Linked DNA regions of Drosophila melanogaster. The protein of the gene in region 2 binds, or shares a complex with, the protein of the main gene of each other region. Each region holds a gene or a part of one and is shown on either strand. Other genes may lie near its edges.

Evidence for each region.
Region 1: mip120 (region 2) and HDAC1 share a complex: the UniProt entries of both Drosophila melanogaster proteins name them as parts of the DREAM complex.
Region 3: mip120 (region 2) and Dp share a complex: the UniProt entries of both Drosophila melanogaster proteins name them as parts of the DREAM complex.
Region 4: mip120 (region 2) and E2f2 share a complex: the UniProt entries of both Drosophila melanogaster proteins name them as parts of the DREAM complex.

The regions. Positions count from the first base shown.
Region 1 is NT_037436.4:4,625,039-4,629,988, forward strand, and holds HDAC1 (histone deacetylase 1), read left to right. Parts: upstream 1-1,695; 5' UTR 1,696-1,901; coding exon 1,902-1,944; intron 1,945-2,381; coding exon 2,382-2,494; intron 2,495-2,572; coding exon 2,573-3,818; intron 3,819-3,913; coding exon 3,914-4,077; 3' UTR 4,078-4,429; downstream 4,430-4,950. Other genes in the region: axo (axotactin), read right to left, coding at 4,778-4,950. UniProt on the Drosophila melanogaster protein: Catalyzes the deacetylation of lysine residues on the N-terminal part of the core histones (H2A, H2B, H3 and H4).
Region 2 is NT_033778.4:13,508,010-13,513,653, reverse strand, and holds mip120 (Myb-interacting protein 120), read right to left. Parts: upstream 4,037-5,644; 5' UTR 3,958-4,036; coding exon 3,927-3,957; intron 3,866-3,926; coding exon 2,418-3,865; intron 2,360-2,417; coding exon 1,446-2,359; intron 1,358-1,445; coding exon 1,218-1,357; intron 1,151-1,217; coding exon 825-1,150; 3' UTR 542-824; downstream 1-541. Other genes in the region: mEFTu1 (mitochondrial translation elongation factor Tu 1), read right to left, coding at 4,441-5,644. UniProt on the Drosophila melanogaster protein: Component of the DREAM complex, a multiprotein complex that can both act as a transcription activator or repressor depending on the context. In follicle cells, the complex plays a central role in the site-specific DNA replication at the chorion loci.
Region 3 is NT_033778.4:13,220,519-13,228,267, reverse strand, and holds Dp (DP transcription factor), read right to left. Parts: upstream 5,836-7,749; 5' UTR 5,223-5,835; coding exon 5,156-5,222; intron 4,678-5,155; exon of another isoform or gene 4,608-4,677; intron 4,094-4,607; exon of another isoform or gene 3,806-4,093; intron 2,947-3,805; exon of another isoform or gene 2,857-2,946; coding exon of another isoform or gene 2,802-2,856; coding exon 2,644-2,801; intron 2,578-2,643; coding exon 2,517-2,577; intron 2,460-2,516; coding exon 2,330-2,459; intron 2,267-2,329; coding exon 1,933-2,266; intron 1,865-1,932; coding exon 1,629-1,864; intron 1,569-1,628; coding exon 1,486-1,568; intron 1,423-1,485; coding exon 1,339-1,422; intron 1,283-1,338; coding exon 1,098-1,282; 3' UTR 523-1,097; downstream 1-522. Other genes in the region: Fsn (F-box synaptic protein), read left to right, coding at 6,099-6,406, 6,464-6,828, 6,892-6,986; CG17059 (uncharacterized protein), read right to left, coding at 7,365-7,502. UniProt on the Drosophila melanogaster protein: Component of the DREAM complex, a multiprotein complex that can both act as a transcription activator or repressor depending on the context. In follicle cells, the complex plays a central role in the site-specific DNA replication at the chorion loci.
Region 4 is NT_033779.5:21,153,755-21,158,669, forward strand, and holds E2f2 (E2F transcription factor 2), read right to left. Parts: upstream 2,996-4,915; 5' UTR 2,290-2,995; coding exon 1,990-2,289; intron 1,928-1,989; coding exon 1,818-1,927; intron 1,612-1,817; coding exon 1,353-1,611; intron 1,232-1,352; coding exon 892-1,231; intron 826-891; coding exon 722-825; 3' UTR 539-721; downstream 1-538. Other genes in the region: Mpp6 (M-phase phosphoprotein 6), read left to right, coding at 3,217-3,705; Coq3 (coenzyme Q3), read right to left, coding at 3,763-4,489, 4,550-4,726, 4,781-4,809. UniProt on the Drosophila melanogaster protein: Transcriptional repressor that binds to E2f sites and represses E2f-regulated target genes. Binding to E2f sites requires transcription factor Dp. Acts synergistically with Rbf2 to antagonize E2f1-mediated transcriptional activation.

The DNA.
Region 1 (4,950 bases), on a different chromosome or scaffold from region 2:
ATCAGCCACAGAAGCATAAATAGAAATGCAGCGGGAGAGCAAATCTAGCACTCTTTTTTTTAGTTTTTGTGTTTACTTATTTGCGTTCATTGGCTTCTCTTCCTAACGGCACTTCGGGCCAAGGAGGTGCGAATGAAAAGGAGCTATAATCCGGTTTTATATCGCACTTACCTTTTTTAATTAGAATAAATCAAAACTTTGCTGCGGATTCCGATTCTCTTTATTTGCTATCAAAAGCAAAGCGGACTTTACAGTTACGCCTGTTAAAGTTGTTGTTTTTACTGCACGGTCTGCGGGCCAAATAAAAACAACAAATACTATATTTTTGCTGTTTACTTTACGCCGAACTTCGACGCTAATTGGAAAAAGAGATGCGGGAAGGAGAGAGAGCAATGAAAACTATAATTAAACGCCAGCAAAAAAAGGTCTTAAATATCCTGCGGGCACAGCAACAACAACAGAGAAAAATACAGGAGGAAAACCAAGAGAAAGAAGGGGAGAAGTTAACATAAAGTAACAGAAAGTTGCGAAGGAGAGGCGTTGGTCTCCGAGGGGGAAAGGCATAGGAAAAGACTCTTAAGGGAAAAAGAGAAAAGTCGGAAAGAGAAAAGCTGCGCAGGATATTTTAGCCGCCTATGAAAAATGTTAATTTTGTTTTAAATGTTCACTGCGGGTTTCATATGTTTTTTCTTGCATTATTGGCCACTTCGCTTTGTCACTTTACTTCGGTTTTAATTTTTCCACTTCTTCATTCGCCCAGTGAGTGTGTGCGTGCGAGGGAGATGGAGCGAGAGAGCGTGTTTGTGTTTCCACTGCAACTCCATTCTTCTTTCTCTTTTTTCACACACACACACAGGGCACACACGCACACTTGCACATGGGGGAGTTGGAAACTTACGCGTCGCCGTTTTATTAATTTTATTCAATTAACAATCGCCTCTAATTCAGCAACTCCAAAACACTACAAAATCTCGTTGTACTTGAGCACTATTGTTTGTCGATAAGAAGCCGCCGAAAAACGCCGACCGAGGAGGAAAATCACCCGCGCTGGAAAATCGCGTCCGAGTCGTTCAACGGTGAATTTTAGAGTGAGAAGGAAAATCGTGGGAAACTGCGGTGGATTTTAGAGCGAGATGGGTGATGCTCTGAAAGAGAGAGAGGGAATGCACCCTCTGGCGATGGGCCAAGTTCGATATTAGCATGGATTCCTATCGATTAATCGACTTAACATTATTTACCCCGGACTACAACCTATTACTTCTGTGTTTTTGTTTTTCTTAAATTATAATGAATCATTTATATTTGTATAGAAAATATTGAAATCAATTAGTTTATTCGAATGCTTAAACTTAAATGTTTTCCAACAACATCTCTAGTTCCAGCTTCAGACTCTGCAACGTGATCTTAGCCAATAAACTTTGCTTTATAAACTTATAATTGATCCTTGCTATTTTTCCAAAAAATATGTCGTGATATTTGATAATTTTTGATAAGTACATAGGTCTGATTGTTTATATATCTAATAAAAAATGACCACTCTGTATGAAGAGGGTAATCGTATTTCATATGTAAATTTATTAAATATATTTCTTTAATAAATAATTAAATATATTTGTTTGGTATTTTCGGTATTCATGCAGTTAGTATTAAAAGTATATTCTGCAGAGCCGGGAAGTGTGGATTTAAAAAAGTCCGCGGTCACACTGCCCATCTGCAGAGGTTTCCTCTTCGCGAATTTGTCTTGTGCGCTCCGATTTTGGCTATATAGTTGCGCCAAAGTGCCAAAAATCGGACCGGCACCAAAGTAAACCATCTTCTGAGCTCGCAAGTTCATCCGATCGACGAAGGATAGAAAAACATCGACTTTAAGGGGATTTAAGACCCGCCAACAGCACCGCAAAATGCAGTCTCACAGCAAAAAGCGCGTTTGTTACTACTACGACAGTAAGTTTTGAGCATTTAAATGGAAGTAAAAGGCCTACTAGATGGGTAATTTGTGTTTACAAAGTGCCAGCTAGGGTTACCATGTCGACTTTGTGTTTTTTCCGCATCCACTTAGCATCAGATGATAGCATTTTTGCAAATTTCAAGTTTTACGGCGACTGTACGAGCGCGTTCCGGTCCACAGCGCACTTTTTCCATACGACCGCAGTGCGTTTGTATGCGTTTGTGTGTGTATGTACCTGATGTCTATCTTCCTCTTCTGTGTGTTTTTGTTGCTTTTTCGTTCGGGGCGAAAGTGCTACTACTGCGGTCGTTCGGAAAAAGTGCTGCTCTCAGGCAGACGCCTCGCCGACAGTGGCCTTAAAATTTGTATTCCACATAGCGTGGCAAATAATTACTTTTTCAACGTGCTCATAATTGCGATTTTTGATCCATAGGCGACATTGGCAACTACTACTATGGCCAGGGTCATCCCATGAAGCCCCATCGCATACGCATGACCCACAACCTGCTGCTCAACTATGGGCTCTATCGAAAAATGGAAATATACGTGAGTTACTTTATTAATATGTGATGATAGATATATATATATATATGATAGATTTAAACGCGAATTTCTCTATTCTAGCGTCCCCATAAAGCCACTGCCGATGAGATGACCAAGTTCCACTCGGACGAGTACGTCCGGTTCTTGCGATCCATTCGGCCGGACAACATGTCGGAGTACAACAAGCAGATGCAGCGTTTCAATGTCGGCGAAGATTGTCCCGTCTTCGATGGACTATACGAGTTTTGCCAACTCTCCGCCGGAGGATCCGTAGCTGCGGCCGTAAAACTGAATAAGCAAGCCTCGGAGATCTGCATCAATTGGGGCGGTGGGCTGCATCACGCCAAAAAATCGGAAGCCTCGGGCTTCTGCTACGTCAACGACATTGTTCTGGGAATTCTGGAACTGCTTAAATACCATCAGCGTGTTCTCTACATAGATATAGACGTCCATCACGGCGATGGCGTGGAGGAGGCGTTCTATACCACCGATCGTGTGATGACTGTCAGCTTCCACAAGTACGGAGAGTATTTCCCGGGCACTGGCGATCTGCGAGACATTGGCGCCGGCAAGGGAAAGTACTATGCGGTGAATATACCCCTGCGTGATGGCATGGATGATGATGCGTACGAGAGCATATTTGTGCCCATTATCAGCAAGGTGATGGAAACATTCCAGCCGGCAGCCGTGGTGTTGCAGTGTGGCGCCGATTCGCTGACTGGCGATCGGTTAGGCTGCTTCAATCTCACCGTCAAGGGTCACGGCAAGTGCGTGGAGTTCGTGAAGAAATATAACCTGCCATTCCTGATGGTCGGCGGTGGTGGTTATACCATTCGTAATGTATCCCGCTGCTGGACCTATGAGACCTCCGTTGCACTGGCCGTGGAGATAGCCAACGAACTGCCCTACAACGATTACTTCGAGTACTTTGGGCCCGATTTTAAGCTGCACATTAGTCCCAGCAATATGACGAATCAGAATACATCCGAGTACCTGGAGAAGATCAAGAACCGTCTGTTCGAGAACCTGCGCATGCTGCCTCACGCTCCGGGCGTTCAAATCCAAGCGATTCCCGAGGATGCCATCAACGATGAGTCCGACGACGAGGACAAGGTCGACAAGGATGATCGCCTGCCGCAGAGCGACAAGGACAAGCGCATTGTGCCCGAGAACGAGTACTCCGATTCGGAGGATGAGGGCGAAGGCGGTCGCAGGGATAACCGTTCGTACAAGGGTCAGCGGAAGCGGCCGCGTCTCGACAAGGACACCAACAGCAACAAGGCATCCTCAGAGACGTCCAGCGAGATCAAGGACGAAAAGGAAAAGGGTGAGTGATTAACCATTAGTCATTTTAATTGGTTCTACTGACCACTTGTAATTTGTATTTAAACCCTACTAACTAAACCATTATGCTGTTTTCAGGCGACGGAGCTGATGGCGAGGAATCGACGGCGTCTAATACCAATAGCAACAACAACAGTAACAACAAGAGCGATAATGATGCCGGAGCGACAGCTAATGCCGGATCCGGTTCGGGATCAGGTTCCGGTGCCGGGGCCAAGGGCGCCAAGGAGAACAACATTTGACGTGGCGGCCGCAATTGGTTATAGAAGCCAATTAAGCGACCGCCGAAGTACAAGCCACCGGATTTCACCTAGTGTCGTCTCATTCCCGCGCCCCCCTTCACCAACACGCCCCGTAGCCATGTCCAGGGCTTTTTCTACACGCCCCTACACAAGGTCCCACTGCGATCGGCTCCTTTTTTTCAGTGGGAATATTCCCAAAGGGGGATAAATCAGTAATCAGTGGGCGGAAACACAATTTATTTTAAGATCGAAAGTGTATAGCTAAGCAAAAAGTGAATGCATACTTACAAGCGATCCAATGTGGCGAATAACGCAGAAACTAATTTAATCAAATAAAAATATTTATACATTTATTGATTTTAATTTTAATGGAAAATTAATTGAGCTGCTATCTTTTAAATATTTTCTTTTGGAAGTATTCGATTTCCCATTTTTAGCAAAATACTTACGTTTCCACATTTAGGTTTCTTAGTAACAAACTAAACGATAATTTGTAACAATTTATTTGTATTTTAACTAGGACTAGCTAACAATTTTTAAGATTTTAACTTTGAGTTTCTAAGTTGAGGAGATTGTGGCATTTGGGGGGGAGAAAAGGATCCACTGGGGGTTTTCCCGCCCACCAGTTGACAGTTTGTGACTAGTCGGCGAGGTTTTCCACGGATTGCAGTGGGCGGAGAACTGGAAACTGGCTGCGGTGCTAATCCAGCGATAATATCGAGTCGATGCTGGTGCGATTACTGCGCGGCTGCAGACGCGGTCCACCCAAGTAACTAATTGGATTCGCGAACTGGCGCTGCAGCAGTGAGTTTTCCAGGAAAAGCGTCGGCGGCGGGGGTGGGCGCGTCACTTTCGAGTGATGCTGTCGCATCG
Region 2 (5,644 bases):
TGTATGAAAAATATGTATAACAGGGCATATATATATATATATATATTAGCATTACTAACCACGTATATGTACTATAGTCCTTAAACGATTATCACATTTTTACTCAAACCTTGAAACTACATACATACACACATATGTACTCATGTCATGCCATGCCATGTTTATAGGGTGAGAACCGGGAGAAACCAGAACACAAACATACTTATATGCTATTTATACATACCAATGGTGACCAAGTAGAATATATAACTATACTTAAACAAAAAAAACTACATATATACAAAACTAAATACCTACTATCAATACAATCAACTAATATATGCATTACCTATACTGTAGTCATTCGACATGTGTTTATTTTATAGAGATATTGCTAACTAAGCTGATACCGATATTGTGAAAAACCAAACTAAATTGCGTTGAGTTTAATATACTCGCCCATCAATAAATTTGAAACAATGCAAATGCAAAATACAAATATGTAACTGAAGTTGTTGGTGAATAAACAAGCTACAAAACAACACAACGTCTCTTTTCATTTGTGTTCAATGGTCATTAAACTTTATTAGGTATCTAAATTATTTACATTCAATCCAAGGGAAAAGTTTACAACACAATTACAATGCTCGGCCAAAAATTAAAATAGCCTTATATCTGAAATTTGCTATGTATGATATATACATTTTGTGTTTAAATTATTTAAATAGGGTAAACACTTTACTTTAAGGTCAACTTTTAGAAAGCCAAAATTAGAATATGATTGAGAAAAGGTCAAGAACTCTTTGAACTTATAAACTAATTAATGTGTGACTATATTTGCATGCCTAAGAAGAAGGCTTGGACTCGTCTATCTGAGAGGTTTCTTGCTTTTCCTTGGCAAAAGCGATGATCTGTGTCAGACTTTCGCCCATTTCCTCCATAACCTCGCGCTCCATGTCCTCCACGGCCACATTCTGTTTCTCGTGCATCACAATCCGCGATATCATGCACATGATGGTCGCCTCAATGACATCGTCCGTAAAATATATATTTGCGCGATTCTCGTTCAATTGCTTGTTTTTAGCTTTGTCCTTTTTCTGACCCTCGACACCCATCAATCCGTCCAGAGAGTCCATGTCCACGTCCGGACGGTCTTCCATGTTTCGACACCCTAAATAATAAGTTGATTGATTCAGTTAGTTTGATCATAGATAAAACAGATTTATCAGTTCACTTACCAACGCATTTACATATGCTGGAGCAGGGAATCTTTGCCTCATAGCACTCACAATAGTTCTTGAGGCAGCCCGATCTTTTGCAGTTGCAACCTTTGTTATGCAGACGCATATCACCTGAATTGGGTGCCGTAATTTTGGGTCTGTTTAAAAAAAAAAAAAGTAGTTGTGATTAGCATCTTTAGAAACATAGGATAGACCTCATAAGCTTTTCCTTTCAAATAAACTTACTTAAAGGCGCTGGGGTTACGATCGAGGCAGCTGCGAATAGCACGCTCCCGCTCCACTTCGTAGTCCAGATTGTTAAAGCAATCCTTGCAGGTGCAGTCCTGACAAAACTCGCCGTTTGCAAAGCAATCGCAGTAAAGCTTTAGACACTGCGACTTGCTGCAGTTGCAGTGCTTTCGCCGCGAAGTCATGCCGCCCAATGGATCGACGGCTCCGGCTGCTGCCGCGGTTGCTGGAGGTTTTAGGACTTCAAAGAGCGGCTTGGCAGGTACATTGGCCTTCACCCCCGGAGGCAGTGTCGGCAACTTTGGCTCGACCTTGATCGGCGTCGATTGTTCGGTAGGCAGTTGCTGCTGTCTAATCCGTTGCTTGGCCTGCGCTTGAAGTTGCTGGTGCTTGGACTGCTGCTGGGGACCCATCTGCTTAAAGCGGTGCTGTTGCGGGGAAATGGGTGGCGGGCGTCGCGTCTTGTTTTCCACATATCCAGTGTATCCCCGTCGCATGGCACTCGTCGATGATTGGGGCACACCCGAGTTACAGATCATGTACTTGGCCCCATTGCTTCCAGTCGGTTGAACATAGTTGTAGATTTTCTTTGTGGAGTTGGAACTGGGACTTGTACTGCTAGACACCACACGCTGTACATTCGCTGTCCGATTAATTAGTTTCTGAACTGGCTGGGAAGCTGCCTTCTGTGATCCTTGCTGCATGGTAATAACGTAACGCGGCTTTTTGGCCTCAGGACCCGCATCGCTGCTGTCGCTAGCTTCACTGCTGACCGAGGCCGATTGCTTTAGCTGCACATTGAGATCAGTAAGACGGTGTTTGCGTGGCAACTCCTGGCTGGCACTCGGCGTGGCGCTGCTGCTCGCCGCACTGGCTGGTTTTGAAGCGTTGGAGATGGCGCCCAGCGCACGCTTTAAAGATGGAAATTGAGTTAGAATGAAATAAATTTGTACCAACACAAGTACCAACCTTTGAGACCAACGTCTGCACGGAAGGCAGCGGCACAATGCTGCCACCCATTGATCGCATTACAATCTTGTTAGTGTTGCCCATGGCAAGGTTTGCCTTCGATGCGGCTGCAGGTGAAGCTGCTGCTGCGGATGTTGTAGTAGATGTGGCAGGAACACCAGTAGCAGCCGGTGGCCGCACCACAGTGATCTTCTGAGTTTGCACTGTTTTCGGGATTGAGGCTGTTGCACTTGTTCCGGCGGCACTCTTATTGTTGTTCAGGACACGTACATATTGTATTCCTCCCTTGCCAGGCAGCTGAATAGCGTGCAATCCGCTCGAGGTGGAAGGTGTCTGTCCGCCCGTCGTGTGGGTTGTCGAACTGGTGGCACTCGCATTCGGCGACAGCTTAATGATGTTCTTGTTGGATACAAGAATCTGTTTGCCGCCACTTTGAACCAACATCTTGCCCGGTGTTGCGGATGCACTGGCAACGGAGCCCGTCGCCGTTTTTACAGGAGTTTCTGTTCTCACCACTACCTGGCCAACGGGCTTGTTGAGCACCACATTTCCCGTGGAGGGAGATAGTTTGACAGAAGTGGCGGCAGAACCTCCTGGTGTGACTGTGGTCCCAGTTCCCTGTTTGGCGTTCACCAGCAGTGAGGGACCAGCCTGATTGATCTTGATAATTTTGCCATCGGCAGTGCGCACCACCTGAATTTTGTTGGGCTGTGCCAAAGATGGGGATGTGGTTGCCGTCGTGCTGGAAGTCGACGCCTTCGCAGTGCCTCCGGCCAGCGGTTGGATGCCCTTTAAGGTTATGGCTGAGCCGGGTACCGAGGTGCTTGCTTTGGCAGGAACAGCCGCCTTGACCAGACCCGTGCTTGCCATGGTCACGCCCTTAGAAAGCACTGCCTTCTGGATACCAGAAGGCGCCACGAGGCGTCTTATTCCACCGCTTGGTGACCCTGTCACCGCAGTGCTGCTTTGTGTTCCAGGAACAGACTTCTGGACAAAGATGACTTGGCCATCTTTCGTCCTAATCTGGGTCAAGTTGCCCAAAGTCTTGGTTATGCTGCCCGGTGTGGATTTGGTCGCTATGGTCGTGCTACCGATCTTTAGCGTACTGCTGGGTATTGGTTTCAATTTGTTTAGTATCTTTACGTCTGTAACTTGCGCCTTGGCCGGAGGAGTACCTCCGGCAGTCACCATCTTAATGGCGTGCGACTTCAAAACGGTTAGTCCGGACGAGTTTAACCTCTTGTCCTCCAGTATGTGGACCACGTTCTTCTTAAACTGCGGCGTGTTCAGGGAATCGTTGGCCGGATCGGCCAGATCTTCACCGCCGATATTGTCTTCCTCTGAGTCCAGAGCTTCGATTTCCATGTGCTGGGAACTCTTCTCCGACGTTGGCTCCAAAAAGTCTTCAAAACTCAGCTCCGGCAATGGTTCCGTGTCGTCTAGGGAATCTGCGGACAAAATAAGTTATTAATTACTTTGCAAACAAACGTTTACGGTGCTTGAATCTACCGGTCAAGTAGTCTACGCGGTAGGTACTCATTTTTGCCAATTTTCAAATCAATTTCAAAATGTTCTTTATCATCAGCTGCGTTCAAGGCGGTTGCAGCAGTGTTGTAAAATGTCGTAGTCAGGTTATTATCGGCCTTGTTTGATTTTATCGGCTCCATTTCGATACCACTCTATTTCGGATGCCGTTAACATAGAGCGATAAGCAATCGATGAGTGGCGCCTAAATTAAATATTGCCCTTTATCAATGATCAATGCTTACTTACATAACTTTATATAACAAATAGTCCTTTGAAATGCCGAAATGTCAGGCAACAACAGTAATACTTAAAAGCCGTACTATTTTAAATCAATTTTAAGATCCCTACTAATATTCCAAGTTTTAAAACTTCGTTGTCCATAGGTGTTTGTTTATATTTTACTCGATTGTGATTGGAGCGCCAACAACTTATACAATATGCATAAAAATCGCTTAAGAATATGATTTTAGTTAATGACTGACGGCGTTCCGGGGATCTACTTCTTAGCCGCCACCTTCTTCTCGCGCGCCTTCTTGCCCTCCGTCAACTCGGATCGCTGCGATTCAGTCAATGGGGGCAGAGTGCTGGTGACGACACCAGTGCCCAGGGTCAGGTTTCCGTCACGCAGCGTGAAGCGTTGTCCCTGCTCCAGGACCATTGGCCGGATGAGGCGCAGAATGAGCTTGGTGTCTTCGCCGGGCATGACCATCTCCTTATCGGGAATCTGCACCTGCACGGCACAGTCCCAGGTGCGGGAGAACATCTGCAGTTGGATGAAGGACATGAAGGGCTTTGTGCGACCGCCTTCATCCTTGGACAGGATGTACACCTGGGCCTCCAGCTGATCGAGTGCCTTCACACTGCCCGGCTTGCACATGACCATGCCGCGCTTGATGTCATCTCGCTTAACGCCGCGCACCAGAGCTCCCAGCTGATCACCGGCTTGCGCCTCCTCCAGAATCTGGTGGAACATCTCCACGCCCGTCACCGTCGACTTCAGCACCTTGTTATAGCCCACGAACTCGCACTCCATGCCCTTCTTGACCACTCCGCGCTCCAGGCGACCAGTGACGACGGTGCCGCGTCCGGGAATCGAATACACATTCTCAACAGGCAGCAGGAAGGGCTTGTCCAGCTCGCGCACAGGCGTGGGGATGAAGCTATCCACCTCCTGGAGCAGTTTCAGGATCGCCTCCTTGCCGATCTCGGGACTCTTGTCCTCGAGGGCGCACAGCGCCGAGCCCTTTACCACAGGGATCTTGTCACCATCATAGCCCATCTCGGTAAGCAGCTCTCGGATCTCCATCTCCACCAGGTCGACCATCTCCTCATCGGCGGCGTCCACCTTGTTGATGAACACCACGATGTGATCAATGCCGATCTGCTTGGCTAGCAGCATATGCTCGCGAGTTTGGGGCATGGCGCCATCGGTGGCGGCCACAACGAGAATGGCGCCATCCATCTGGGCTGTGCCGGTGATCATGTTCTTAATATAATCGGCATGTCCCGGACAATCTGTGTGGCCGTAGTGACGCGTCTCCGTCTGGTACTCCACGTGGGCTACATTGATGGTAATACCACGAGCCTTCTCCTCGGGCGCATTGTCGATTTCATTGTACTTCTTGCTCTCGGCCAGCTGCTTGTCGGCCAGGACCTTGGTAATGGCCGCCGTGAGCGTGGTCTTGCCGTGATCCACATGG
Region 3 (7,749 bases), 290 kb from region 2:
TGTCATGGATTATTGGACTTATTGCTTGGGTTGGGTGCAAGCAGAAGGGAGGAAAAGATTAAATTCTCTGTTTATCATATTTTACAATATGCAAATTACTTCTTTATTAACTTGTCACTCGGTTCGATTTCGTCTCACTTGTTTGCAATTTCCTTTCCATCCATGCAATTATTTCGTTTCATTACACAACTACATGCTCGACACTTAATTGTTAACGCCTTATACTTGACTACTAATTTGTATTTGCATGCTGTTGTATTCACTTGAAGAGGGTTCAATAATATAAATACAAATTCTGAAAATGTATATCGTGTTTTAATTGTTATTACTAATTAGGTAGGTTGATTATTTCGCAACTATCTGCACTCCCTTGTCAACTTAAAATTTGGGTTTTGAGAATCTAAAAGAATCGCTTTGTCAAAGGGTGTTAGCAAATTAAACATATTTCATATGTTCGCTCTTGTCTGCAGTTCAAACTGCTCGTGGCATTCTAAAAATAATTGCATTTCACTGCGGTTGTGTACAGTTTTGGTATATTATATTATTAAGAGACAATTACCCATAACATTATCGCTTTTGCTTAAGCCTACCCAAACATGAAAAGGCCATTGGGGGGAAAAGGGAGACTGATAACAACTAATTAGAGAGTGAACATTAGTCTGGGCATGTGGTTTCGCGGTATTGCCTTATGTGAATTGTGGTTTGAACTAAAAACGCGTTCTCCTTAACTAGACAAATTATTTTAAAAACGTTTCAGCTTAAACATAAATCTTCAATGATACAATTACAAACTGTGTATGCAAACTACACTTACATACATGAACTACCGAATCTTTCTCGTCGCTGCGAGATTGTATATATATAATTTAAGAGTCTCATTGAGAAGTAAACAAAACCAATTGTGTGGGTGGGTCGGATTGGGTGTGGAGTGGATTGGAGTGGAGTGCGGCTCCTGACTAACCAGGGGGCCGTGGCAAACCTAACAAAGCGTTGATAAACGTAAAACTAAACGTGTCCTCCGCATCAGCATCTGCTCCTCCATCCGCATCCGTGTCCGCATCGGCCATGGCTGGCACAATGACGGCGGCACCATCAGCTCAATCAATGTCGTCGTCCAGCTCGTCATCATCCATCTCCAGCTTGAACTCGCCATCGGTGGTGTGTTGTGCCGAGTGTTGTGCAAAGCCCTGGGACTCATTGGCCGACTCCAGGTACCCGTTGAACTCATTGTCCTCGTCATCCGATTCGTACATATTTTCGCCAGTCTTGCCGGTGCCGTAGGCTGGGCCAAATATAAAGTTTAATAACAGTGAATTGGAAGACAATATATGGTCATACCTTCTACGTATTTGGCAAGGTTTGGAGGCACCCACGACTTGACTCGTTCAATGTTCTCCGGCGTGCATTCGCCCTTATCCAGTCCTGCAGGTAATAGCATATGCAATGAATTTCTTATCCCGAATGCCCAATATTAAACACACTCACCCAATAGGAATCCCATACGCTTGAGCACCTCAATGTCATCGTGCATTTCGAAGGTTTTGTCGAACTTGAATATGTATTCGGACCTGAAACGATATATGGGAAATAGAATACAAGCCATACTCCGACTGAGTGTGAGCGCTCACTTGTCGTTGGTCACACTGCAGTTGATTTTCGTGGACTTGTGCGTGTTCACGATGATGAACGGTAGCTGGATCGAGGCATTCGGGGAAGGCACCACGCCTTGGCTCTCGTTTCGCTTGTTCCGCTCGACCAATCCCTTGAACGCCACATGCTGCATGATCATTTCGCGCAACATTTCGTTTTTCTGTTTTATTCGCTCGCGGCGCTGACAGTTTTCCTCTTCCAGGGCCAGAAATGTCTATGAAAAGGGGACAAAATAATCACATTAGCATGGAGTTTGGTGCCTTTGGTGAACACAAGTCCCACCTCTGTCGAATTTGCGGGCAGTCCTATCCAGCGAATCTCCTTCTTGTCCTTGGAAATAACATTGATTGCCATCAGTACGTTGAGCGCATCGTAGACACGACGTCGGATATTCTTTTGATCACAGTTGTTGTCGTACGCATTGTTCTTCATCTCCTCGCTGACCAGGTCGTCGGCCACCTCATTGTAGGTGGTCTTGCCCTTCTCCTCCACCTTTTCGCATACCTTCATCGAGAAATGGCGCAAACCTTTGCCTGCCTTGTCCGGCTTGCGTTTCCTTTGAACGGACGATGAGGAGGCCGACATGGAGTGCAACGAGTTGCTCTGAATGGCATGGCTGTTTGGGAAGGAACAAAGCTATAGTATCCTCCTCGATCCTGCTCGGTTGGTTACTACTTACAGTTTTGATTTCATTTTTATGGGATTTGGTGTAAACTTCACATAGCGATCTCCCTTCAAGGGCAAGTCGTAATGACCACTGCCAGCACCCGAAGTCTTTTGCGCCGAAACGGTGGTGTAGGTGGTACCTGCTACAATAAGGGATACAATGATTAATTGAAGTGGTAAGAGGAGGATCACACGCTTACCTTCTGTTTTTGGAATGGACAGTCCGTTGTCCTGCAGTCGTATAAACTGCCCTTGACTGCCCTGCGTTTAAATCGGATCGTTAGGTACTAAGTGTAAGCAACGTGAGCAACCGCGTTCTACACTTACCATCTGACTAAAGGCGCCCATGCGTCCCACGTTGCCGATGCCGCTAGCACTTCCGCTGTTGCGCGCGGATGAGCCGGTGGCGTAGACCACCGCCACGGGCTTACCTCCCTCCATTTCGGACTTGTTCTGGGCCGGCTTCAGCATTTTGGATATTTGTCCTGCAGAATTGGAAATTGGAAGATGCGGAGGTTCCTTAGTTTCCGATATACACATAACACGCGACTGAAATGCCGTCGTTGATAACAAAACTGCATGTACTCCACAGACACACACATGGGTGTCAGAGTGTTAGCGAGTAACTGAATGTATGTGTGGTACTATCAACGATGCGTTTTTTCGCCGTATATACGGTGAATTCATCGCAGCGAAGTGAAGAGAATGGAATGGAGCGAGTTAAGCGCACTGGAGTCGGAATACAACAACGAAAGGCGAGCGGCACATTAAGATTGGGGTGCATACACACATACACACAAGGTATACCCACACTCACGTGCTGGTGGTGAGTGTGCGTGTGTTTCAATCGGTGTGACAAGGATACAAATGCAGAAGCATAAACAACCCGAAACCAGATCGCCTGGACATTAGTGATGGCAACCACGTGACCCTTAACCAATTAGAGATGGTTCGATACTAAAGTTCGTGACTCGACAAGATTGTTGATCAGTCATTAGTCGGATTAATCCAAGTTCGAATATAATTTGAATTAAATATAGTGCGATTATAGGTTTCCCATTAAAACTCACAATTCGACTTTTAACTGGAAAGACAATAAATCAAGCAGAAGCCTAAGCAGAAGAAAAAGTAAGAGCAAATATGATACCGGTTAGTATTTTTAAAAGCGTGACATTTCAAATCACTGTTCTTAGTTGCGTTCTTTAGTAAATTTTATTTACTGCTAATTTGGTATATCCAACACTATGAGCACTTCCATTCCAAAGCAACTATAATATCAAGGCAGAATTAACCGGAAACCCATTAAGACTACTCGGTTGGCACCCCTGGGTTTCGTATCCAACCGGCTTTTCTAAACATTTCCAGTTTTAGATGGTATTCATTCGATGTAATAATTGTTCACCTGTCGCCAGCCCAATATTTGCATAATCATAACAACAAAGCAGGTGGACAACGCATAATGGAGATGAAGATGCCCAAAACAAAAACCGCAAAGGGTCGAGCGCTAAAAATACCTGCCAACTCTCCCGCACCCACGGGCACATCACACGCACACACACCTGCAAGTGAGTCAGACTCACGGGGGCTTGAGCAGCGGACACATGCGAGAAAATGCCGGACTGTCCCACCAGATGGTAACGATGGGAGTCTTAAACTCGGCGGGAGTTATCCTACAATGCCTAGGCAGAGTCCCAAAATGCAGGTGAAACCATAATCCCTACAATTGGAGAAGCAGTTCCATAGTTCGTCTGCACCAGTCAACCAGCAGATAACTACAAACCAGGTAACTCGCTGGTACGAACAGGCTGATATACTGGTCTATATAAAGCGTTTATGCGCGCTTCATATTCAACAAAGAGCAATATCACTGATTAAAAATTACTATTTCTTTACATATTGGGGATTAAAGAGACATTTTATACAAATAAAAGCACGTCATAAAGCTATCCATATCTTCTTCTTTGCTATCATGACTGAATGAAACTCATGAAGTTAATCAGTTCAGTACTGCGGGGTACGGTAAATACCGCATAAACGCGGCGACGGACAACTACACACGTGTACAGCGCTTACACCTATTTGCTCTCGCCTGTTTTGGGCTTCAGCTTCGTGGCTGACTACGTGTGTGTGTGTGTGGCAGTGTTGTTCTTGCTGTGGCCTTTTTTCTCTCACCCCGATCTCTCTTGGCGGTGCGCCCCGTCTCTCTCCCACTCGCTAAGATATGGCAGAATGTCACGCTGTTCAGATACATTTGTTTCAAGTTGAATTTACAATGTCCCTCACAATAATACCTTTGTACGTAGCTGAAATCAACGATTTATCACTACTTCACTTCATGCTAAATCCTCAAAGCGAATTCGCAGTGGCGGCGAAGTAATCAGCTGTTCGCCGCCCAATGAAAAAACAAAAAAATAAGTAGGAGAAAACGCGCGCGTGCTAGTGTGCGTGCATGTGTGTGTGTGAGCAAGCGCGCCAACTGGGCGATGGGCGTAGATGGCAGAAGGGGGCGGGTCTGGGTGGCTTACTGATATAAGTTGTTATTTCGCGGGGGTCTCTGTCTTTTATTATTACTTTTTGCCAATTTCTAGCACTCTTTTCGGTTCGTCTCGCTGGCCTCCCCCCGCAAAGCGTATCAAACGATGAATACGGTAGGCAAAAGAAACCCGAAAAAGCAAAGATGGCGTTTTACGCTGCCCATGCAACTTTGTAGCGTATCTGTGTGGGTCGCCTTGTGTATGAGGGGGTGTGTGTGTATGATGGACTATAGCGGAGGGAGGGAGTGCACTCACTCCATCGTGAGCAAAACTCCTATTACAGGACACCGCTTCCGCCCACTTACCGTGCTCGTTCCGGAAGAAGAAGTTCACCTCATCGGTCTTCACCGTACCGCCCGTCGAATGCGCCATTTTTCGGCCGCCGGAGATCAAGTGATCTTGTTGTTGTCGCTTACCGCTCACCAGGTGGACCGCCAAAAACAAAAGGAAAGAGCAGTGCTACGTGCCGTTTCGCCGCAACGTGTGTGCTAGGGGGGGGCAAATGGAGCTGGAATGGGCGACGGCGGTGGATAGGCGGACGTACTGCACCCACGGACTGGGGCACGTGTGCAAATCCGGATGCGGACCACGACCACGACGACGACGACTGCAATGGGGAGCGCACTTGTACAAAAAATAAGTGTCGCCCAAGTCAAAATGGCGAGCGCATTTTTCACTTCCAGCGGCAGGGCATTTTTTTTTTCTTTTCTGCTGCTCACACACACTCACAGCGGCGGCCCTTTTTCGGTGGCCTTTTTCGCGGTGTTTCGGCGCACGGATTTTCACGAGATTAGTGGCAAAAGATACGGCGAACTTTTAGCTATCGAACGGCTGGCAGCAGCGCGAATTTCCGCAATTTCTAAGCGCAACAAAATGGTCACAAAATTTCCACCAAGTGGCTGCTTTTCGTTTTCATGTGGGAAAGGCAAAGCAGGCTGTGTGCGGGTGCGAATGAAATGGCAGACAGTGCGCGCCAATTTACGCATCAATTTACGCAGTGTTGTAAGCAGCTGTGTGCGACAGTCGCTATCGCACACTGGTCGCGGATGTAAACAAAGTTGCCACTTTGTCCAGGTGAGCGGTATTTCGCTGGCAGCCCGCCAACGGTCACCCTGAATCGCAGAATATTAAAGTTTTCGAGTTTTATTTTTACCCATTTGGTTGGTGTGGGAAAATGACAATCAACAGGAACGGGTAAATCCAAGCAGCTATCTACACGAGCCCAGCAGCGGAGCGCACACGCACACAATGGTCGATCCGGTGGCGGCGCTGTGCAATTACAATGTGCTGGAGGTAATCTTCTCCTACCTGGAGCTGGACGACCTCAGTCATTGCTCGCAGGTGTGCAAAAGTTGGTACCACTTCCTCAACGACGAGAACAGCGACGTCTGGCGCTGGCACTGCCTGAACAAGCTGCCCAAGGAGTCCCTCAAATCGGACCTGCTGGCCTCCGTCTCCACGTACAAGACGAAGCTGCGGGCCTATTTTCACGCCTGGAGCCCCAACGACTGTTCGAGGAATGTGTACATTAAGCCGAACGGATTCACCCTGCATCGGTAAGGTATTCGGTTTGCTTGAGTCGGCGTTATATGTATGTCCCTCCATTCCCGCAGCAATCCCGTGGCGCAGAGCACAGACGCGGCCCGGGGCAAGATAGGATTCCGCCACGGTCGTCACACCTGGGAGGTGATATGGGAGGGACCGCTGGGCACTGTGGCCGTCATCGGCATATCTACCAAGGAGGCGGCTCTACAGTGTCACGGCTATGTGGCTCTGCTCGGCTCCGACGACCAGAGCTGGGGCTGGAATCTGGTCGAGAACCACCTGCTGCACAACGGCGACATGCAGGGCAGTTACCCGCTGCTGAACAATGCTCCCAAGTACCAAGTGGGCGAGCGGATACGCGTCATTCTCGACTGCGAGGACAACACCTTGTCGTTCGAGAAGAACTACGAGTTCCTCGGTGTGGCCTTCCGGGGTAAGGGGAAATAGTTTGGTGATACCAGCGATACGAACGATTCTATGCACTTTCACCTTGCAGGCCTGCCGGACAAAAAGCTCTATCCCACAGTATCCGCTGTCTACGGCAATACCGAGGTCTCGATGGTCTATCTGGGCACGCCGTTGGACGGATAGCTTTGCAGAGGGCCTACAACTTGGTTAACAACTTCCACGGATCCATTAGGTTATTGTGTACATTTGTATTTATCTCAATTATGATTGCTTCATTCCACCTGAAACTCAGTTCGATAAATTTAGTTAATAGTTTCGTTTTTTTGTACAAAATTATGCATTTTGTTGATTTACGCTAAGCCAAAGTTCATATCCACCTCGGCACTATCTCACATGGCAATTTACCTTAGTTATACGAACCAAATGAATATAATAAGCGATTAAACAATAGTTGAAGCAATTTTTTATACACCAATGATCGCTGATTGTGCAAGTAAAATTACAGACAGAAGAACGAGTCGCGAATACAAATCTTTCAATCCATTTATTGCGTGGTGGCCTCTACTGTTTCCCATCGGTTTTCATCTTGGCCCAGTTGTCTTCATCGAACAGATCATCAAAATCATTGTAGAAGTCAGCGTGGACGTGCTTATCGTTGGAGGGCAGGTGGTCCATCATCATTCCTGTGGCTCCGCCGGACTAAAGGAATACAATATAAATATATACATATGTATATGAGCGTATGGTGGCAGGTTTTTAACATTTATGTAGGATATTGCCATGAGCATTGATGAAAACTCTGGACATGGGAACAATTAATATAATAAATAAAGTCGCCAAAAGATGAAATGAAAGATACATATTCCTGTTTTGCGGGGAAACACTACTTCTAAAGAAGATTGTAGATTTATCTGATTGTTGTTTACTTTTAATTGCAATGTTGGCT
Region 4 (4,915 bases), on a different chromosome or scaffold from region 2:
ATTTTCACCGAAGTAAGTTGGACCATTAAAGATGTCTCGGTTTAAATCATTCAAAAAGACTGGGAAAGGGAAAACGCAGATTTTGCTGCAAACAAACAGCGGGACTACTGCACACTTTTCCCAGACACATTGAAAAAACCGTGGTTAAAAATCCCAAATGTAAACTTAAATCTACAGAGATCAAAAGAATCAACAGACTTCTCAGCGATAACGGATTCGACAATTATACTTTGAATAAAGTACATGTTACAATAACATAAGGGGACCAAGTAACGTTTTCGATAACGTATCCCACATCTTAATCAGCTGTTCCAAGTACAACACTTTCCAGCCCTGGAAAAATACCAAGACATCAACCATCTCTCTAAAAACGTAAACATAAACGCTTAACAAGGCATCATAGATTTTCTAGACCAAATTAAAACAAACCTATAAATCTTTCCAACCTTCCTTGGCACTTTCCACATACACGACCAAATAATTCCACGACATTTACGGAAGTTACCTAAAACAAAAAAATACACAACCTACAATGTGTGCATTTACGAATTTATTGGTTTTGCTGTTATTTGCGAAATTACAAGGTATTACACTAATTAAAAATTTCTAGACGATATAGAGAAATCCAAAGTCAAAATTGTACTAATCATAAATATTTGCACAATGCACGCGGCCAGTTGCAGTGTAGCTATAGTCCTAAGGTGTACATCCCCTTCCACAGTTAGGAGCACTGAACATCAAACAGCTCGCAAATACCTTCGTCGCTTTTTAACGCAAAGTTGAAGTCTTCCTGCGGAGGATTCAGCTGCAGCAGCGGCGGGTTTTCTGCAACATCGGACAGCATCAAGTTAAACAGGGGGTCTTTTAAATTGGCAAGATAAGAAGACAAACCTAGATTCGGATCATCGGGATAAAATCGCCGCAGCGAATGACCGGACAGATAATTTTGGAAGATTATCTTGGCCGTCAGCTCGTTCTCCAAAAGTTTCATCTCATCTTTCATCCCGGGATTGCACGAGTAACCGTGCTCGTCGGTGATCACGTTCCCCGCGCATGCTGGAGCGTTACCATCCTCGCTGGAGTGCGACGACGTCGAGGGTGAGGGCGTGTCCAGACGGTGATAGTCAAAGAACCCATCCACATCGTGCGGATTTGTAGTACTCTTTCCTTGGTTCGTCACCAGGCGAATGTCAATTGCGCTGCCATTGTCCAGCGACACGGCCAGCTCGTACTACAAAAACAATGTTTCGTTTGAATCCCATATTATACGATAAATTTAGATATTTCTTCGTTGAAAGAAATGGGAAACCTCGAAAGCTAGTTTAAAGAGCTCCGACTGGTAAGATACCTACATGATTACGCTTGATATCTACTTCCTCGTCATAATTAGGTATTGTGAATACGGAATCATCTCCAAAGATGTCCAGCAGATCATCACGTGTCACATATGCATACGACCTATTCGAGGGATCCTGCATAACGTAGCGCAGATTGCGCTGTGCATACTCCAGTTGCCTGTCTAGGTCATCCTCCAACATTTTCAAATGATTAGTCCGGCTACGTGCCAGGTCGTAGTTCTCTTGGTCCTTGGCATTGTTAAAGCCCCCTCCGCTGGAAAATGCACATTATCAATAATTTATCAAGAAATATTTATGTGGAATCATACTTTGAAGATGATCAAAGTAAATTCCACCTGTTTGTACTGTATTAAGTATTAAGTGCTAAAGGGCGACTTCCACCCCATTTTGTTTAATTTTGTTGTCACTAACATTTTTAGTTCTAACTAAAATGTTTCATAAAATGTAAGGGGCTCTTACCGCCAGCGCACTAGGGAGCAGTGTCTGCCCTTATCAATTAGTCCAATGCCCTCTAAAACATTGGTAATATCGTATATTCGGCGCTTCTGTACGTCCAAGATTTTGGTTGCCTGCAGAGGGGAAATTTGGACGATGTTAAGGTAGAGTACTTAATGCTTGGCCGTGTTAGTACCGCTTTCAGGTCGATGGATCCTTCGTTGGCCTTCACGAGATCCACAAACTTCTGTGTGAGCAGGACCAGTGAGCCCACGGAGCGCTGTTGTCCAGGCTGCGATTGCGATTGTGAATTCGACGGAGACTTGATTGGCGTTGGAGGATCCGGTGATGTGTCCATGCTAACGGGTGTAGACTCGTAGCTCTGCGACCGGACCGAAGTCTCAGCCGAATCCACCTTCATCATCATAGCCGAGGAGGTGGTGCCCGCTGCGGAGCTGTCTCTTTTAACAATACTCGCGGTTTTGCGCTTGTACATGGTCCGCAATCGACTCGATGACTATACTCCTGTCCTTGTAACTCTTTGCGTGGCTGCACTCAATATGCAGCGATCAAGAAGCCGGAATTAATTGCACTTTGGAGCGAAAATTAAACGAAAATACGAATGTTGGCGCTAGGTTTGCTTTCCGCCATTTATGTCATTTTTTTCATTCTCCCTCTATTCTTCGTGCGCACTGCGCAGTGTGGCAAAGCGACGCTGCCACGACGATAGTAAATCGATTAATCGATGCTTGCGCACATTTCAACACTATATTTTAAACAGGTAAACATTTTTAATATTTTGATCTTTAATTTCAATTAATTTTCATTTAAATTCTGTATTTAGTTTAGTCTGCAGTCCAACACACAGATCATCCAATGTTTTCTACTTGGTCTTCAAATGTATCATCACGAATAAATAATAATTATTTTAGTACTCCATAATATTTAGCCATTCGTTAAGGTTTATTGTCCGATAATATTGGCGACAACTTTTAAATGAAATTGGGTCTTTTTTAGGTTTCAAATTAAAAGCATTAACCCTTTGAAGGCGCCTGTGCTAGTCTTGATCGTTTACAGAGCATGTATAGCACAGCTGGAAGTTTTCTTAAGAGTGCCCATGAAGATGGAGTTGAGCTTGTTTGTCAGTAGGGTGAATTTAAAATTTTAAAAAGATCAACTTGATAACGAAGGATTGTTTTAACTTTCAACAGTAATTTAAATATTTACTTTAAACATCGCATAAACACGAGGGCGCGCCACGTTTTCTAGCTAGGCTGAACGATGATTTGCAGCACTGGCTTTCCCCATTTGTTGTGCTCGGTCATTCTGCTTTTGAAAAAAATTAAATGTGCCTGATGGTTTCGCCCTAGTTTTTAAACTCAAAGGACTTCTACTATATTAGATTCAAAAATAAATAAGGAAAATGCCATCCAAATCAAAGCCGAGACTTTCGCGTGGTGTCCTGGACATGAAGTTCATGCAGCGCACAAAAGTTAAAGTGGAAAAGGAGGCAGACGATGAGCAGAGCAGGGCACTGTACTCCAACGAGATCAACCAGAAGATGCTCAATTCCACCTCGAATTTTGTGGTGGAGTCCAGCTACTCGATATGCGCCGGCCTGATAGACGGACGCCTCAGTTTCCGCGGCATGAATCCGGAGCTAGAACTTCTCATGGAGCAGGATCTGGCGGAAAAGCAGGGCCGCACAAGGCCGGAGCAGCCCAAGGAGGTATCCGACCAAGACATGGTAAAGGCTTATTATGCCAACAAGGCGCCCACGGTCTCCGGCAGCATGAGCAAGAAGTTTAACACCAAAAAGGACTTTAAAAGGAAGCAAATCGGCGGAGATAGTGATAGTCCGCATGCCATGAAGAAGCAGTACTTTAAGAAACCACGCTCGGGTGACGAATAGTTTACTACTTAGTTGTTACACTCGTGACTTAGCTTTTAGTTAAATAAATATACGAATTCAATTGTACTCGCGCTGTGCTTGTTTCACCGCCTGCAAGGCGTAGCACATCTGGTTGTTGTTGATCCATCGCCAGGTGTTGCTCCAAAAGTCGTAGGTGCTTCCATTTACCAACACCGTCTGACAGTTCACTGCAGATGAACGAGAGAATAAAGAATAGCCTAATCTGAATATAAAGCCTGAGATAAACTTACTCGTATCCAAGATGCGCTGAACGTCCAAGGGCGAAATCATTTTGTCCCAGTGGTGCGTTCCCCTGGGCACCAGATTGAGAACATACTCGCTGAGTAACACGCCACCGAACCAACTGGGTATGGTTTTGTTCAAAGTGGTGATAAAGATGGATCCTCCAGGCTTTAGGCTGCGTACACTGGCCTCCAGCAGGGACACTTTATCTTTGACGTGCTCCAGAACTTCAGACACTATCACCGCATCATAGCATTCGCAATTGGCCTTGGCATGCTGATCCACCGGCTCAATTTTGTACACCACATTGCTGGCCAACTCCGGACTGGAGCATTTGAGATGCTCGCGAGCAGCTTCTATTAACTTCTCGCCAAGATCTATGCCAGCCACCTGGGCACCCAGGCGCGCCAAGTGTTCCGTAAGCAATCCTCCGCCACATCCGACCTCCAGAATATTTTGACCCAACAACACTTTGGTGGTATTTACGTAACCTGGCTTCACAGTGCCACGCGAAACGATGCCATCTCTGATAAAGGGAACCCTGAAAGGTGGAAAGGAACTTAGCTATAAACCTTTGGAACATCAAATCTGTATAGCTTACCTAATCTCATTCAGGGCATGTAGAGCACCCATGGTTCCATTTTGATTCCACCACTCCGAGGCGTGATTCTCATGGTGCCGCACTTCCTTTTGGGTGCCGGCATCCAACGACTTCGCTGTGCTGCTGCTTCTAGTCGAATTTCGCCCGATAGAACAGGATAGCAAATGTCTCAGTTTGCTGGAATGCAAAACTGTAATGTAATCTACTTTTGCAGTCTATTTTTTGACTTACCCGCTTACTAACAAGGCATTTCGCATCATTTTTGCGAGAAAAACAAACGTTGATAAACAAAAACAGCTGACTTTGTTTTGCTGCCCGGCGAAAGCATGGGCGTAGCCAGGTGCATTAAGGGGGATTGACAATTCT